Schizosaccharomyces pombe: one gene and its partners. Changing the gene in region 1 together with any one later gene gives a genetic interaction. Each region holds a gene or a part of one and is shown in the gene's direction. Other genes may lie near its edges. The genes, in order: SPOM_SPBC1348.10C, dph6, atg9 and stg1.

Region 1 (4,364 bases):
AAAAATTAGATAAAAAAAAGATTTATACCAATATAGGAATATAGTATGAGTAGATAATTCGTGAGATTAATATTTCTGTAAAAGTTAAGTTTATGTCGCATAATGTCGAGAAGCAGAACGGCAGTATAAAAGCGATACTAAACGGCGATTAGCAGTAAAAGAATATTCAACAATAATGTTAATTTTTTAATCAAGCAAATGAGAAAAAAATGAATCCAAAAATGATTAAATATAAATGCAATTATTAGCACTATCATTTTGAAACAAGTCCAAAACGACGTTGGCTACAATGACAAATATTAGAAACAGCATATTCTTGTTCAATGCTTATAGTTGGTAGTCATGAGTAGAGAATATAAATACAATGCACACGATGTAGATTTGATGTGGGTAAATGAGCAAGTAATTATTGATCGTGGAAATGAAATACGACCTATAAGCCTAAAGCATAATTGATCACTAAAAAGTGCTCTTTTATCTCCAACTTGAAGAAAAAGTAGAACAAATAAAAAGGCATCACAAGCTGCCATACAAAAACTATCAAACTTTGTTCAGCTAAATGTTTTGTGCATAACGATGATTAGGAAATTAGTGTGGAAAAGTTACAACCTTATGTACTGTTTCGGAAAGATACAGTAAAACAAACAATTCAAGAGAGATCTAAAGAGACAATCAGGTTAATGGCCTTTAATAATAAGAAATTACCGCGATGTACAACTTAAGCAGGTGTGACAAAAAGTACAAATGTACGTTCGAGCAATTAAAACTACTATTGACATATCATAAAATAATGTCAAATGTTGCAAAAAATAACAAACAAATTTGTTTTCTCGAGGTCAAGCGAAAAGATATTTACATGTATGAAAGTCGAATAATTGTGATAATAGCGAGGATTTATGAACAAAGACTACTCGAAAATACAAAACTTATTTCTCCCTAGTATATGAAGATCAAAATAACTTAAGCTAGTTGAAATGCATGCAATGTGTTAAACGTGGAATCATGAATTCGCTATGCATTTTATTGGCGTTTTCTTTTTCGTGTATCCGCGCTAGTACACTAGATTACGTTGCCTCTCACCATACATCGAATGTCCCTACTATCATCCTCCTACTTATATTTATAATCAATACGTGATCATCAGATCATTCCCTTACACGCTCCCATTTCAGATTATGCATCGTAATACTAACAAACTATTTTGTATAAGCGAAGTAATTAACTCCATTCGATGATGAGCGATCAGCTTCTGGTATTATTGTTCGCATACATATCTTGTAACATTTGTTACTCAATAGAAATTTAAGGTAACATTGATCATAAAGTAAAAGCTTGCCGTACTAAATTGTATCCGCCTAACGTTTGCGAATTTTGCAGCAAGCATTGTTTCGTATTTAAGATCACTTTTGTAGACAGATCTTGAGATAACGCGACAAATTTTGGGGCTTTTAAAGTTCGGAATTCTTTCTTCCGGATCAGAGATGTGTAGTGCGCCAGAGTAATATATGATTTAATATTCTTCCGTGTAGTACACTTTTCCATGCGAACTTCAATTTTTACAGCTTTTGTTTGAACTTTTTTTATTTTCTGCAATGTATGTCAACTATATTGGACTCTTTGCTTTCGTTCAAATTTCGTTGACGTTAGCTTATCCTCCCGGTCGTGTGGAGATTTCTGAAATATATGATTTTGAAGAATCTAGTTCGTATAAAGGACAAGATATTGATACATCCGTACTTTACACTTTGTCTAAAAGGAAACCTGCGCTCGTAAAACGAAGTACCGACGCTTCGTATGCCCCTTTCAATGTGACCTGTTCAAACGACAATCTGTTGAGGCCGGCTTCTGAAGGTTTAAATGAGGGCGAACAGAGCTATATCAACAAACGTATTTCTAAGGTTAACAGTGAACTCCGATCATTTATTTCTAAGACAGGTTTGAATGTTGACTTGGATAAGGTGGTTAACAGCTCGGATGGTCCACGTTTAGGAATTGCATTCTCAGGTGGTGGGTTACGGGCGATGGTTAATGGAGGTGGTGCATTCAATGCTTTTGACTCAAGATTCGAGAGTGACTCTCCACTTTCTGGTCTGCTGCAATCCGCGATGTATATCAGCGGTCTTTCTGGTGGTTCATGGCTTGTTGGATCAGTGGCTATTAATAATTTTACGAATATAACATACTTACGTGATAATGTCTGGAATTTGGAACATAGCGTTTTTGCTCCTCATGGGGATAATGTCATTGAAAATTTGAATTATTATAATGACTTGCGCAAAGAAATTGATCAAAAGAAACATGCGGGCTTTGACTGTTCTTTGACGGATTTATGGGGACGTGCTTTGTCCCGTAAACTTGTTGATGCTGAAAGGGGAGGACCAGGCATTACATATTCCAGTATGAGAAATCAAAGCTGGTTTCAAAATGCTGATTATCCTTATCCCATCATCGTTGCGGATAGCCGATTAGAAGAAGAAACGGCCATCCCTGCCAATACCAGTATCTTTGAGTTCACGGCGTATGAATTTGGTACATGGGACAATGGAATTAAAGCATTCATTCCAATGGAATATGTGGGAACTCACTTGTTGGATGGGGTTCCACCCGATAAGTCTTGCATTCATAACTATGATAATGCAGGTTTTGTTATGGGCACTTCAGCTACTTTATTCAACTCTTTTCTTCTTGACTGGAATGAAAATGTCAAAAAGAATGATACCTATTACGATATTCTTCATGCGATTCTTGAAGATCTTTCTAAGCATCAAGATGATATTGCTCCTTATCCCAATCCTTACCAAAATTATACTACTTCCAATACCTCTGTAGTGAATGCGTTCGAACCGTATGATACTATTGATCTAGTTGATGGTGGTGAGGATAGGGAAAACATTCCCCTTTGGCCTTTGTTACACCCACAACGATTTGTGGACGTTGTATTTGCGATTGATTCGACTTATAATGATCCTTATGGTTGGCCCCTTGGATCTTCCATTGTTGCTACATATGAGAGAGTTGTAACCTTTAATGCGAACAAGAGTGTTGATGTGCGTGGATTTCCATATATTCCGGACGAAAACACTATTATCTCTTTGGGACTAAACACTCGTCCTACGTTTTTTGGATGTGACGGTAAAAATACTACAGCAGGAAATCATGATGTAGACAATAATACCCCACCTCTCCTTGTATACTTTCCAAATTACCCTTGGACTTATTATTCCAATATATCGACATTTACTATGAGCATGGACGACAAGATGGCTAATGGAATTCTTGAGAATGCATTTATGTCGACTACGCAAAACAATAATGAATCTTTTGCAGTTTGCTTAGCATGCGCTATAATTCAACGCTCTTTGGAACGCAAGAAATTGAGTACTCCTACCCAGTGCTCTTCTTGTTTCCAAGAATACTGTTGGGACGGAACTCTTGCAACTAGTACGGCTTCTGTATATGATCCTACCGTAATGTCTGCTGCGACAACATCTCGTGCACCGTCAGGCACAACCTCGGGTACAGCCTCTAGTACAACATCTTCATCTGTATGTTCTCAAAAATTCACGTTGATTAAACTATTTTTTTTTTCATCGCTAACTTTTGTTCTAGGTAGCATCAGCCACTCCCACTCATAAACATTGGTGGGACTCGATTTTCGAAGCGAAAGAAAATCCGTAAAAAGATTCCATTGATGTTGTTTCAATGGATTCTCAGGCATGTGAGAAATTTAGAATAGATAGATTTACCTTTATTGTACTTGGTTACGAATTCGTTATGAAAGAGAACTAAGGATTTTCCTCATTCGTGAGACTGCTCAGTTAAACCCTTTACGTTTGATGGAGCTATGTAAACGGGTAAATGAATAATTTGTTATCTCTAAACTTTTTTAGATAAATGCAACCGGTCGAATGGATGAACAGGCTTAGTTGGCTCAATCTGAGATCGATGTGCATTCACGTAAAGACACGAAACGAAAGAATGTAAGCATGAAAACGATTAAATACAACATTGCTTTAAATTGATATATACGTACAATTGGGAATCACAAGTTGAATGAAAAATAGTCCAAGATCGTTGTGCTAATGATGAACATTAAATGATAGATTGTTTTAAAAGCTCCCGGTTTTTTAAAAAATAGATAATAATAAAATTGACTACAAACATTTAAAAGTAAGACAGAGACTTGTTAATTCAATATATGAGGAGTCACTACTAAATATTTTACTGTATTTTGAAACTTCCTAAAGGAAGGAAACTAAATAAATGCTGAAAGATTTATCAACAGTTTGGTACAAAAAACAGTAAAAGAGGAATATTCAATTGGTAGAACGAAATCGTTTAAAGACCCATTTGTTTTCGGTGTG
Region 2 (4,619 bases), 750 kb from region 1:
GAGGATCGTTCAGGACGCCTTGAAAATTGTCGAACAAATTCCTAAATGGAAACACCTTGGAAATCATGATGGAGTTGCGCTATACGAAAAGGCACCTGCTTATACTGGACATACATGGTATGGTAGGGTGTCTAAACATACACGTTCCCTGAAAACTTTCAAGGTAAGTTCTTACAAGTGTTGGATAGTGGTTTGTAAAATGGTTCCAAAATTTACCTCTGTATATACAACGTACTGGAGACTCTAATACCATAAAATAGGAATAACATTAGTCCTTTGATAACTTGAGAAATCGATTTTTCAACCTATTCATCCATCGCACTAAATGCTAACAACAGCTTAGAAAGGATTGCTATACGAACATATCAAAAAGGAAGCTGATTATGATCCATTGGTATTTTCAGCACATCAATTGGAAACTATTATCGAGGATGAAATTGAGAGTACGTTTGAAATGTCATTTAAGCGAGTAATGTATCTTCCTTCATGGATGAAAAAATTTTTATTTCAAGCATACATTATTTGCTTATATTTACCATTATTATTGTATTTAATTACTCACATTTGTTTCAGTTTGGATGTACAAGTACAAAACCCCTTGGTTCTTTCGGAATCGAGTTTACAGACAATTGGTGGTTTCTGTGATGCTGGACCCGGATTCTTTTATTGTTCTTCAAACTCCAGTTACATATCCAGGTTCCTCCAGTGGAGGAGGGAATGGTGTCGTTGCTCTTTATGACTCTGTTGACTTTGTTTCTAAGAAACTGGACGGAGATGGTAAGGAAGAGGGTGTTTTATGGATTTGCGCTGTCCGTAATGATTATGGAAGTATGTTTTCTGGATTGTTTTCTGATACAACGTTTACAAAATCATTGGTGCGTCAGGTGAAGCTTTACAATGAATGGTTAAATCGAACGTATCCTCGTAAAGGATAGCAAAAGTTTTGCTGTTGTTCAAAAGTTTCTTAATACCATTTCGCATGCAGAGCTTCATCTTTTACTTTAGAGTTTCCCATTCCTTGTTCATCGCAGTGACCTGCCTATCTTTTACTCAGCGAGTTATGCCCTTGGATTATTAGTAATCATGCATTAGAATGCCACTTGATGTCTGTGTCCTTTTACCTTCTGTTTTCGTAAGTCCTTCAGTACTTTAACTTATCTGCTTTTGAGATTAAACTTGTTATTTATTTTGATTATTGCTTTAATATGTGTTTTATGGAACCAGAATCTTTCCTAGAAGGTTAAAAGGTTTCTCAGCCCTTTTAAATGTTTGGTTTCATTAAAGCTTAACACTACGGGACTCTGTCCGTAGAATTCTTGCCTGTTATTAAAAGAAGATCAAGTTGTCAATTATTTAATACTTCAAATAGACAGTTTATGATGTCTTATATTTCATAAATTGTAGTTTATTTTTTTTTTAGCTTGTACATGCTTTATCAATTGCTATTTGAAATCTGGTAATTTCATAAACGCATTTAGGTTTTTTTTATGCATCGTTGCCGGTTTTTGTTGGTTGTTACCCTTAATTTTGCTCTTCTTTCTGCCTCTTTTTTTCCTTGGCAGTAATTTTTTTATCTGTTTTATTTCGTCCTTCACTTTAATTTGCACAAACTGCTGAGCGGTTTTAGTGCTGTGAATGATGAAATAAAGCGATAGTGTTATATTCCTGAAGTATATCTTTGCTAATTTTTAGTTCTTTCTCCTTTCATTGTTCATTAATGGAAGATTGCTTTGTTTATGTTCAGCCGCAAGCGTCTTTTCATCATGAACCTTTCTATCCTCATCCTACGTTACTGTGGAGATCGGAGCTATACTTTACGTGTTGGTTTCAAGCATAAAGTTTTAACATTTAAATTTTTTGTCTTAATTTGTATTATTAGATTTCGAGTTCTTTTAGTTTATTTAGTCAATATATCTTGATCATTGATAAATACCGTATTGTAGTAATGTCGTTATTTATATATGTTTTTGAAGTAAACAATTAATGTTGCCATATACAAACACGAAGAAAGCTTGAACTGAAAAATAGGGAAATTTACAAGTATTTTAGAGTTAAGAAAAACCATTAATGAAGGTCTTAGGGCTAATCAGCGGTGGAAAGGATAGCTGCTTCAACTTGATGCATTGCGTCTCTTTAGGCCATGAAGTAGTAGCCCTAGCAAATCTTCATCCTGAAGATGGTAAAGATGAGATTGACTCTTTCATGTACCAAAGTGTTGGACACGATGTAATTCCATTGTATGCTGAATGCTTCGATCTACCGTTATATCGAGAGAAAATCGGTGGACAAAGTATCAATCAAAACTTGGATTATCAATTTACAGAAAAGGATGAAACAGAAGACTTATATAGACTCATAAAGCGTGTATTGACAAATCATCCAGATCTCGAAGCCGTTTCTACCGGCGCTATACTTTCCACATATCAACGGACTCGAGTAGAAAATGTTTGCAAACGGTTAGGTTTGAAAAGCTTGTCTTTTCTTTGGCAAAAAGATCAGGAAAAATTACTCAACGATATGGTTGTTTCTGGTTTGAATGCCATCTTGATCAAAGTAGCTGCAATTGGCCTTACGAGGAAGGATTTGGGGAAATCTCTAGCTGAAATGCAAGATAAACTTCTTACCCTAAATAAAAAATTCGAACTGCATCCTTGCGGTGAAGGAGGTGAATACGAAACATTGGTTTTAGATTGCCCATTGTTCAAGAAGCGAATTGTTTTGACTGATAAAGAGGTTGTTGAGCATTCTTCTGGGGAAGTCTGTTATTTGAAAGTTAAGGCCTGTGTTAAAGATAAGCCTGAATGGCAACCTATCTCGCTGAAAAGTGAATTAGTTCCAAATGAAGAATTACTTGGGGAAGAATATTCACATATTTATCATACTATATCTAAAAAATACGAACTTATTGACGATCAAGAGGAGACGCCTACTTCTCTTATCCCAATTCCTCTTCGTGAAAGCGCCTTTCAGCAAAAAAAGGGCTCATTTTTAGTATTGGGTAATGTGGTTGCTACCAAAGGATCTTATAACACGTTTCAAGGTGAAGCTGAATCTGCTATAAACAACTTAAATGGTAAGTTACATATTGATTGTCTTCGTTAATCATATTCTTGATTCGGCTATGCCACCGAACATTTCCTTTAAACCGCTAGAATACTAACTTCCTAGAACTGCTTGGTACATATGGATATTCTAACAAAAATGTTTACTTTGTAACCGTCATTTTATCTTCCATGTCTAAGTTTGCAGAATTTAACTCTGTTTACAATAAATATTTTGATTTCACGAACCCACCTTCCCGGTCTTGCGTCGCAGCTCCTCTAGCTAGTGAGTATAGGATAGTCATGTCCTGTATTGTTGGAGATGTAACCGAGAAAAGAGCGCTTCATGTTCAAGGGCAAAGTTATTGGGCGCCAGCCAACATTGGTCCATATTCGCAGTCGATCTGTGCAAATGGTGTTGTTTTCATTTCTGGACAAATTGGTTTAATACCATCAGTTATGGAGTTAAAACTTCATGACAAAATATTTGAGATGGTACTGGCTCTTCAACACGCAAATCGTGTTGCAAAAGCAATGCGAGTAGGTTCACTCATAGCATGCTTGGCATATGTTTGTGATTCTCGTGATGCGGATTGTGTTGTTAAAATTTGGTCAGAATATACAAAAAATACTGGGGAGTCAAGTCCTGTTTTGGTTGCGTTGGTTGATGCCTTACCAAGGAATGCCTCAGTAGAATGGCAATTGCTTTACAATGATAGCTCTTGTGATGTTCCACTTCTAAGTTCACTCGTTACAAATCAAACGCTTTTTGGTTCTGATACAGCATGGGATGTCGCCTTATTGAACCAAAATGGTTTACGAATGGAGTCCTCCTTTATTCATCATGAACATCCTTCCGCATATGCTATCGTATTGAACAATGCATTTCCAAATTCTCAGTTATTACACGTGCGTTATACAGCTAGAGATCAAAATGTATAACTTAATGTACATAGGAATTAGATTGTAATGAAATGGTCGAACTTAGCTTTTACACAACTTTTTTTACTGTTTTCATATATACAGGCCAAATTAAAACGCTAAAAAGCGTATTTCTTACGCATATATATTCGGTAGTTTGGCAATTTGTATAATATAATTGATGATAACAAGCTGAAGTTTATCAGGTTTTCAACCAATACGATTAAATAAATATTTTCAGGACATTCCTTTTGTTTCAACGCTTAAATTTAACTTTTTCACTGGAAATCTACAATACTTGCTAGCTATGTGTATCTCCTTACTGCGTCAGTATATCTACGTATTTAGTGTCTACCATCCACGCAAAGCAGGAAATAAGCATATATTTATTTCCTGCCATGCAGTGCTATCTCAAACGAAAAGAAAGATCTGTTGCATTTATTACAGAGAAATATGCGGCAATTATTCAAAAACCGTCTGTTAAGGATTCTGATTGCATAATAACATTCACTTGTATCTCACTTGAAGAATTCGAAAAGATAAAGGAATATGAATTACTTTTTGGAGGAGAGAAGATATTGGGAACCCTTGGGTTGTTTAATTATGTATGTGAGGATATGAAAGAAGGCGTTTTCCTATGCGTTGCCCGGAAAGCAA
Region 3 (4,954 bases), 3.0 Mb from region 1:
CGCGCAGCTGCTTTTCTGCATTCCTACAAAAAAATTCAGTCTATTTCCGAATTTTTGGTTGCCCAGAGGTCTATTTCTCATCTCAAAAGTAAAAGCAGAAGCCGATATGCTTCCCATCCAGATCTACAGGCTTTGAATACTTGGATGACTAACGAAGGAAACCAAGCTAATGATGAAATGGAAGACGTATCCCTATATTTGGAGGAGAGATATGGGCGTAATTTAGATTTAAGTTTGGCTACAGCAGCTAAACTTGTTCTTCGACGACGTATCGCTGGTACCTTAAAAGATGAAGTTGATTTGCAAAAGGCTTTACCCAAAGAAGGGTCTCAGTATTTACGTGAAGTTAAAGGTTTAAGTCACGACGATGTTTTTTTATTTCCTACTGGCATGAGTGCTATTTACAATACTCATCGCATATTAAGGTTGGTGCTTGATGATAGCCGTAAAAGTGTTTGTTTTGGTTTTTGTTATGTTGATACCTTAAAAATTTTACAGAAATGGGGATCTGGCTGCTACTTTTATGGACTAGGTAATGACGAGCAACTTGATGAGTTTGAGAAACGGTTAGAAAGTGGAGAGAAAGTTATGGCATTGTTTTGTGAGTTTCCATCAAATCCTCTTTTAAACTCTCCCGATTTGGTTCGTATTCGGAAATTAGCAGACAGTTATGATTTTGCTGTCGTGGTTGATGAAACAATTGGAAATTTTGTCAACGTTGAGGTTTTACCATTAGCAGATGTAGTTGTCAGCAGCCTCACAAAGATTTTTAGCGGTGATAGTAATGTAATGGGAGGTAGTATGGTTTTAAATCCGTCAAGTCGTTACTACTCTCGAATAAAAGATGCTATGAAGGCTCTTTATGAAGACTTATTATATGATGAGGATGCTTTGACATTAGAAAGAAATAGCAGAGATTTTGCTGAACGTTCACAAGTGATAAACCATAACGCGGAAACAATTTGTAATTTGCTTTATCAAAACCCTAAAATTAAAACTCTATACTATCCCAAATACAATACATCAAAAGAGCATTTTGAAGCTTGCCGGAGAGAAAATGGAGGTTATGGTGGTCTTTTGTCTGTCGTTTTCCACAATCCTGAAGATGCGCGCCAATTTTACGACAAAATCCAAGTAGCAAAAGGTCCCTCACTTGGTACAAATTTTACGTTGGCTTCTCCCTATGCAATTTTAGCTCACTACCAAGAGTTGGATTGGGCTGGTGAGAATGGCATAGATAGAAACCTTGTTCGTGTCAGCGTTGGAATGGAACCCAGCGAACACCTGAAAAATGTTTTTATAAATGCTCTTTCATAACTTGTATCTAAACTGTTTTCAAATAATAGATATTTTTTAAAAACCCAATCATATAACTATAGTTATAGATGAAACTGTCATAGTTATTCTTGAAATTGTTGTTTTTTCTTTTTGGTATTACCTTAAATATATTTAAACAAAATAGAAAATATATGCCTGATGTGATAGGAAAATGTAGTAAAGATATGTTTTTCTAGCTATTTCGAATGTGAGAAATATTTTAGGAAGTTCATTGTCTAAATGTTTACTTCGGGAACAGATGCAACGAGGTACAATACGTTCGCTTGGGGTATGCTACTTTGTTCTCAACGCTCAGTAATAAAGTGCGCGCGCTAGAAATTCTTTTGGTGCAAACCAAAATCATAATGCCCGAATCGGCTCCTTCAACTCCTCCATCTGTAAATCGGAGGCATGAACCAGAAATGCTTTCAGAGTACCCCTCGCTGATGTTTGAACACTCATATTTGGCGTCACCCTCTAGTCCGATTGATCAGGTTCATGACGAACTCAAACACTCTCAGAAACGTCCAAGATTAACTAACGACGAAGAAACAATTCCAGAAGAAGATGACAGTACTGTTCGCCTTACAGACTCAGAGCTTGAAGATCCAGTTTCAAGCAACGAGTTGATTCAAACTTCATGTCACCTGCTCACAAGCGTGTTAACTCAGCTACAGACCAACTTAGATAAACTTAAAGATAGTCATCAAAAAGCATTACTTCGGATACAAGAACTAGAAAAAAAGGTCTCTGAATTAAGCAAAAATAATAAAGATTCATGAGAAAAACCCATATGCCAATTTGAGTGGAATTGCGATCATGTTTTATCAGCCGGCTCAAAACAAAAAGCAATATGACGATCTTGCTGATATAGAAGCTCAAAATAATGTTCCTAATACCCAAGAAGTTTTAGAGGCATGGCAAGAGTCTTTAGACAGTGATGAGGACGAGTCTTCGCCACTTGAGGAATCCAACGGCTTTACAATATCTGAACATGACGATTTCGTAAAAAGCGTTCCAAGAAAGAATAATCCAACGGATTTGCTGTATTCTGGAAAGCTTCTGGACTCAGACGAGCCTCCATCTGTTCATGGAAATTCTTCAAAAGTACCCTCGAAACACCCCAGTCCTTCCTTTCCTGAAACTACTTCTCTGAGGAACCTGCAAAATGGTTCAAAGCAAAAACCAGCACTCCCCAATTTTAACGATCCCCATTTTTATAATGAAGATGTCACTCGCTCTGGACATCCTAATCGATCTATTTATACTCAGCTTCCTCGTAACGAATTTTCCAACGCTCGCGTTCTTTGGAATCGTTTAAGTGCCCGGGATCGGGTTCTTTGGAGATGGGCAAACGTAGAAAATTTGGATAGCTTTCTTCAGCAAGTTTATACTTACTACACTGGTAAAGGATTGTCTTGTATAATTGTTCACCGACTATTTCAAATTTTGACAGTTTCATTTGTTATTGGTTTTACCACATTCATAACTAGTTGCATAGATTGGCCTGCTGTGACACCCCATGGTTCACTGGCTGGTGTCACAAAGTCTCAATGCATTGCACAAATGTCGCCAATAACGTATCTTGTTTTGTGGCTTTTTTTAAGTTTTCTTTTGGCACTTTGGATATATTATCTTACTGATATTCCAAGGTTATGGCAAATGCGTGAGTTTTATATTCATGCCTTAAAAATTGCTACCGCAGATATGCCAACAGTATCTTGGCAAAGGGTTTTATATCGTTTATTGAAATTAAAGAATGTAAATGCTCTTACTGCTGAGGATGGAAGGGTAGTGTCTCTTCATAACATGAAACGCCTGGATGCTTATGCAATTGCAAATCGTATAATGAGAAAAGACAATTACTTCATTGCACTGATAAATAATGGAATAATTAATATTGAGCTTCCTCTCTTGCACAGGAGAATACTCACACATACCACGGAATGGAACATAAATTGGTGCATATTCAATTTCGTTTTCGATGAGCAAGGTCAGCTTCGTAGTGCTTTTCGAAATCCTAACTCCCGGAAAAGGCTTTCTGAAGAATTACGTCGTCGATTCATCGTCGCTGGTTTCCTCAATTGCCTTTTTGCGCCAATCGTTGCAATTTACTTAGTAATTCACAATTTCTTCCGCTATTTTAATGAATATCATAAAAATCCAGGCGCGTTGAGTACAAGAAGATACACTCCATTAGCTTTATGGACTTTTCGTGAATACAATGAGTTACAACATTTTTTTGATGAACGCATTAATGATAGCTATGCGGCCGCATCTCATTATGTATCTCAGTTCCCTGACTTTAACATGATTAGGTTATTCAAATACATATCATTTATTTTAGGAAGTTTTACTGCGATTTTAGTAATAATCACAGTTTTTGATCCTGAATTAATGGTAACTTTTGAAATAACTAAAGATCGATCTGTACTTTTTTATCTTGGTCTTTTCGGATCTCTTATAGCAGTTTCGCGCTCAATAATACCTGATGAAACTTTGGTTTTTGCTCCGGAAAAAGCTTTAAGGCGCGTAATCACTTTTACACATTACATGCCAGGATGGTGGTCTGATAACATGCATAGTAAAGCTGTTCAACAAGAGTTCTGTTCTCTATATTCATATCGCATAGTTAATCTTCTTTGGGAGATTCTTGGAATTTTGCTGACACCCGTATTGTTGTTTTTCACTTTTCCTTCCTGCAGTCAAGATATTGTGGATTTCTTCAGAGAACATACTATAAACGTTGAAGGCGTTGGGTACGTCTGTAGTTACGCTGTTTTCCAGGACAACCCGCCTTATGAGTCTGTCGCTTCTTTGGTACAATCACGTAAAATAAGCCCTCTAATTCAAAATAAACCAGAACTTTCTCGCATCAGCTTTTACGAACAATTTAATACGGAAGCACCTAGAAGGGATCTTCGTTAATGAAATTGAGAGTCAGTTCTTGAAACAACCAAGCAAGTCTCAATGGCTTAATGGTTTATTTTTCTGTCATACAAAATGAAGGACAATGTTTATAAGAAGTGTTAACAATTTGCTAGCAAGGCAATTTGAGCCACTAATGCATGTAATGATTGTATTTTTACTAATTTCTTTTAATGAATGGTGATTGTTTGTTTGGAGAGTTAGCAGTTTACGTTGAAGCTTCTTTATTTATTCAGCTGTAGACTTTATGTTTTACTATTAATGAAGTTTACATTTAATGGAATGATATTATTTTTATGAACATCCGTACAATTTCTTTGAATCAATGTAAACACTGTTTATTACAGTTATAATTACGGAGTTACGCTACAGTGACGACTAATGACAATTACTTATGGTATTAATCAGTAGAAGAAAAAAAATAAAAAAAAATAAATAGATTGGAACAACTTTAAAACTTTCACTTATACTGCGACAAGTGGAAACAAATTTTCTTAGAGCATAGAAAATGCCGCGATTTTATTTTGTAGCATTGTTTTTCAATTCGGGTACAAGATGTATCGAAATGCATCAGTGCCGTTCAAATAATAACGATAAAGACGTTTATAGCGACAAAACCCGAGTCTTTCATAAAAAGACATGGCTGCCTCATTATCCACCTCTGTTTCCAAAACAATTTCCTGGGCACCTCTATTTTTCATTACATCCA
Region 4 (3,401 bases), on another chromosome or scaffold:
TAAGGCCTAGTAATATCCCAAACATTTATTGCGGTATCACCTACAAGAGAAGAGCTTGCAAGTTGATTAGAACCTCTCGATTGCTGATTAGCCGGTCGCCAACGAACACAATTGAGGGGACTGACATTATTGATAGTTATAAGGGACTTTTTTTTGTTGCTTGTGGAATCCCAAATACGAATAGTCTTATCTCTCCCGCATGACGCTAAAAAAACACCATTAGGACTATAATTAACACACAAAACAACACCATTATGTGCAGCTAATTTTAAAAAAGGAAGTTTTGGAAACCGGATATCCCATTTTTGCAAGATCCCACTGTCATAAGCGGCAACGAACTCATTTGGCTCAGAAGGGGAGAATACGACGTCTCGAGCAGCTTCAGAATTTCCACGAAAAGTGATTGTTGATGAGCTTTCCTTGTAATCCCAAAGCTTAATTAACCCATCCTGAGAGGCTGTTAAAACGTAAGACGGGTGAAATGAAGAGATATCCAATTTATGTACGGCTCGAGAATGCTCATTAAAGTCATAGAGAAGGGCTTCTAAATTAACATCCCATACATTGAGATTACCAAGCGGTGAACATGTAAAAATTAAATTTGAAGCAAAACTACTACCCCACTTTACATCATTGCAAGAGATGTGCTTTGTTTGTGTTGATTTTTGTAGAAGGTCAGAGATGCAAACAGGAGGCTTTGAAGAGTTTGGATTAACAGCTAGAACTTTTAGAAGCTCTCGGCCTGCTACACCCACTTTTGTACGGCTTTTATTTACCGAAATAGCACTGATGGAGGCCTTTACATCAACAACCCAGTCTTGGTAACTAACAAGTCCTTTGGATGACTTTACAGATGTGCTAGCAAGTTGGGCATAAGTAGGTCGCTGAAGGACGTTTGAGTTTCGTGAAGGCATTTACGAATTTGAAAACAAAATGAAGCTGGTAGAGTAGCAGCTGATGCCTTCTAAAATGATTTAGGAAATTTGCATACAGAAAAGGAAACAAGTTCTTAAATATCGGACAGGAAGTCAAAGAAATTGCTGAAGTGAAATGCAAGTATGGTGACACTCACCGTACATTGGTAAAATTAACGTTGCAAGATCGTTCAATAGTAAAAGTCAGAAAAAAGTAGACTATTCTTTATCAAACTATTTGTTTTGATACATTAACCAAAAAGATAAAGTAGAAAAGTAGAGGAGCAACTAACAGTAAGAAAAGTTTCTGCTAATGTAAATATCAAGTCCAATGTTAGTGAACAAATAAGAGCTTTCGAATTTTCAATTATTGAGGAAATTCAATCAGAACAATTACACATCGGAAGTTTTCAAAAGAATAAAAGTTCAAATATAATTTATTTTTACGAAGTTCAGTTGCTTATTGCTTCTAGTAAGTTTGGTTTTGTGAATTTACTTCTGAATCTCGCTATGAATCAGCAATATTGCATCCTGTAACGCTATACTGCATTCCTGTAGAGTTCATTATATAGGTTTCACATTTTACTATGGCATTTGTCGCGTATACATGACTTATGATTTAAAATTTCGTTTACGCTGATTTACAACATTTAAAGAATGGTACTGTTGAGCTTATCTTTCAATGCTTCTTTCGTAGAGTTATAGTAGCTACAATATTAAATATGAAGATAACATGTTATATATGACGATATAAGTAAGCAAAGCCGGTCAGTCCAATGTCAGTTGCACAGTGTCAATCGAAAAAGCGGTTTGCAGTACCTTGTCGGTTTGTATTTTGTAATATAATGATGCTTTCGAAATTAAATAAACAAGTCTTCATTCCATAAACGAATTGTGAAGCAAAGTAATTCGACTCTACTTTATATAGTACTAATTAGTAAGAACAAATCATCAGTTTACCGTACAAGAGTTAGTTTGCTGATAAAGAGTTTACGCAGTCTACTGTACCTTAAACTCAGATACGAATTGCGTAGCTGGAGTTACGCTAAATGATCTATTAAGTCCAGTTGCTACACATTGAATTAAGATGGCACTCGTCAGGCTTATACGAAGCCGCTTTTCACTAACCACCTCTGAAAAACCAAACTGTCATTGGGCGTTCCGTGATATAATTTCTTGGAACTTTTCTTTATTTTTATTTAAATTTTCGTGAGAAATGACGTCTCAACTTGAAAAAGAAGCAAGAGAATGGATCGAAGAAACTTTGCATACGAAATTGAATGCTCAGTTAGACTTACTGGATCAATTACAATCCGGGGTGATTCTTTGCAGAATTTGCAAAGAAGCTTTAGGCGCTAACATTCGATACAAAGAATCTAACATGCCTTTTGTCCAAATGGAAAACATATCTGCCTTCATTAACTATGCACAGCAAGTTGTACATGTTCCTTCACAAGATATGTTTCAAACTTCTGATTTATTTGAGCGGAGAAATGATGAACAGGTTTTAAGAAGTATTCACTCCTTTTCGCGCTATGCCGCGAAAATGTTTCCCGGCAAAGTTCGTGGTTTGGGTCCTAAATTGGCAGAGAAGAAGCCTCGTGTTTTCTCAGCACAGCAGCAGCGTGAGTTTCGAGAAGGCGTAAATAGTCTTCAGTATGGAAGCTTTGATATGCCGACACAGGGAACCGAGAAGATTGCATTTTCTAGACGCAGGGACCCGACCGGAAATATGTATTAGTCTTGTGTAGGGAAAGAGATTGAAGATTGTATAACTTTATATCTTCGCTTCTTGTACTTTTTGATAACTTATTTATTTTCATTCATTCGTAAAATCTGCCGAATCCATAATAGGAGTGAAACGTGAGGTCTTGTAAAAGATGTGTATAAATATAGAAGCTTAAGTTTTGCTTTAAATATTCATAATGATATGTTTTTTTTACGACACTAAAACATAAATTGAATTATAGTTTGATTCGTAGTTTGAAAACACATTTAAAATCTTATGTTTGGTGCTGTATTGCTAGATTTCTCGTCGTATCAAATGACTTAAAAAAGCAATACGACAATTCATTGTTTCATGAGCGTTTCCTTACAAAGCTGCAGAGAAAAAAAAAAATGTTGCAAAAATTAGTTATGGAAGTATCAGTGATTAATAAAAATGCACACTTTATTTATTTATTTTGTTATTTTTGTATTCAATTTCTTAAATGATAAGCAGGTCGGTAAACGTATTTACAAATAGTTTTGTGAGATATTATAAAAAAAAAATGTATGTACATTGAAAATTGCAGAAATACTAGAGATGTTGTTAAAATTGTTTGCTTAAAATTTACTCAAGTCAGAAATTAAATAAAAATTTTAAAGCTTGTATACAAAAGAAAATGCTGGTAGACCAGTTTTGCAAGAAACAAAGTAGATAATAAAATTGCATGTATTGCATTTGTTTAGACATTAGTGTTATTAAAAGAAATCAAACAAATAAGT

What was found.
Region 2: mutations in SPOM_SPBC1348.10C (region 1) and dph6 together harm fitness more than expected from each alone (negative genetic interaction), as found in Schizosaccharomyces pombe (one large-scale study listed by BioGRID).
Region 3: mutations in SPOM_SPBC1348.10C (region 1) and atg9 together harm fitness more than expected from each alone (negative genetic interaction), as found in Schizosaccharomyces pombe (one large-scale study listed by BioGRID).
Region 4: mutations in SPOM_SPBC1348.10C (region 1) and stg1 together harm fitness more than expected from each alone (negative genetic interaction), as found in Schizosaccharomyces pombe (one large-scale study listed by BioGRID).

Annotation. Positions count from the first base shown.
Region 1 is NC_003423.3:25,601-29,964, reverse strand, and holds SPOM_SPBC1348.10C (phospholipase), read left to right. Parts: upstream 1-1,592; coding exon 1,593-3,545; intron 3,546-3,609; coding exon 3,610-3,678; 3' UTR 3,679-3,810; downstream 3,811-4,364. Other genes in the region: SPOM_SPBC1348.09 (dehydrogenase), read right to left, coding at 4,339-4,364. UniProt on the Schizosaccharomyces pombe protein: Catalyzes the release of fatty acids from lysophospholipids.
Region 2 is NC_003423.3:771,413-776,031, forward strand, and holds dph6 (endoribonuclease), read left to right. Parts: upstream 1-1,954; 5' UTR 1,955-2,067; coding exon 2,068-3,073; intron 3,074-3,114; exon of another isoform or gene 3,115-3,168; coding exon 3,169-3,983; 3' UTR 3,984-4,077; downstream 4,078-4,619. Other genes in the region: SPOM_SPBC577.11 (uncharacterized protein), read left to right, coding at 1-163, 344-443, 574-935; syj2 (inositol-1,4,5-trisphosphate 5-phosphatase 2), read left to right, coding at 4,361-4,619. UniProt on the Schizosaccharomyces pombe protein: Amidase that catalyzes the last step of diphthamide biosynthesis using ammonium and ATP. Diphthamide biosynthesis consists in the conversion of an L-histidine residue in the translation elongation factor eEF-2 (eft201 or eft202) to diphthamide.
Region 3 is NC_003423.3:3,022,804-3,027,757, reverse strand, and holds atg9 (autophagy-associated protein Atg9), read left to right. Parts: upstream 1-2,099; 5' UTR 2,100-2,136; coding exon 2,137-4,245; 3' UTR 4,246-4,415; downstream 4,416-4,954. Other genes in the region: met3 (cystathionine gamma-synthase), read left to right, coding at 1-1,317; SPOM_SPBC15D4.08C (uncharacterized protein), read left to right, coding at 1,683-2,099; NatC N-acetyltransferase complex catalytic subunit Naa30, read right to left, coding at 4,785-4,954. UniProt on the Schizosaccharomyces pombe protein: Phospholipid scramblase involved in autophagy and cytoplasm to vacuole transport (Cvt) vesicle formation.
Region 4 is NC_003424.3:2,659,671-2,663,071, forward strand, and holds stg1 (SM22/transgelin-like actin-modulating protein Stg1), read left to right. Parts: upstream 1-2,026; 5' UTR 2,027-2,130; coding exon 2,131-2,655; 3' UTR 2,656-2,865; downstream 2,866-3,401. Other genes in the region: SEACAT complex subunit Sea2, read right to left, coding at 1-914. UniProt on the Schizosaccharomyces pombe protein: Has actin-binding and actin-bundling activity and is a component of the actin patch. Stabilizes actin filaments against disassembly. Cross-links F-actin and is required for the formation of the contractile F-actin ring.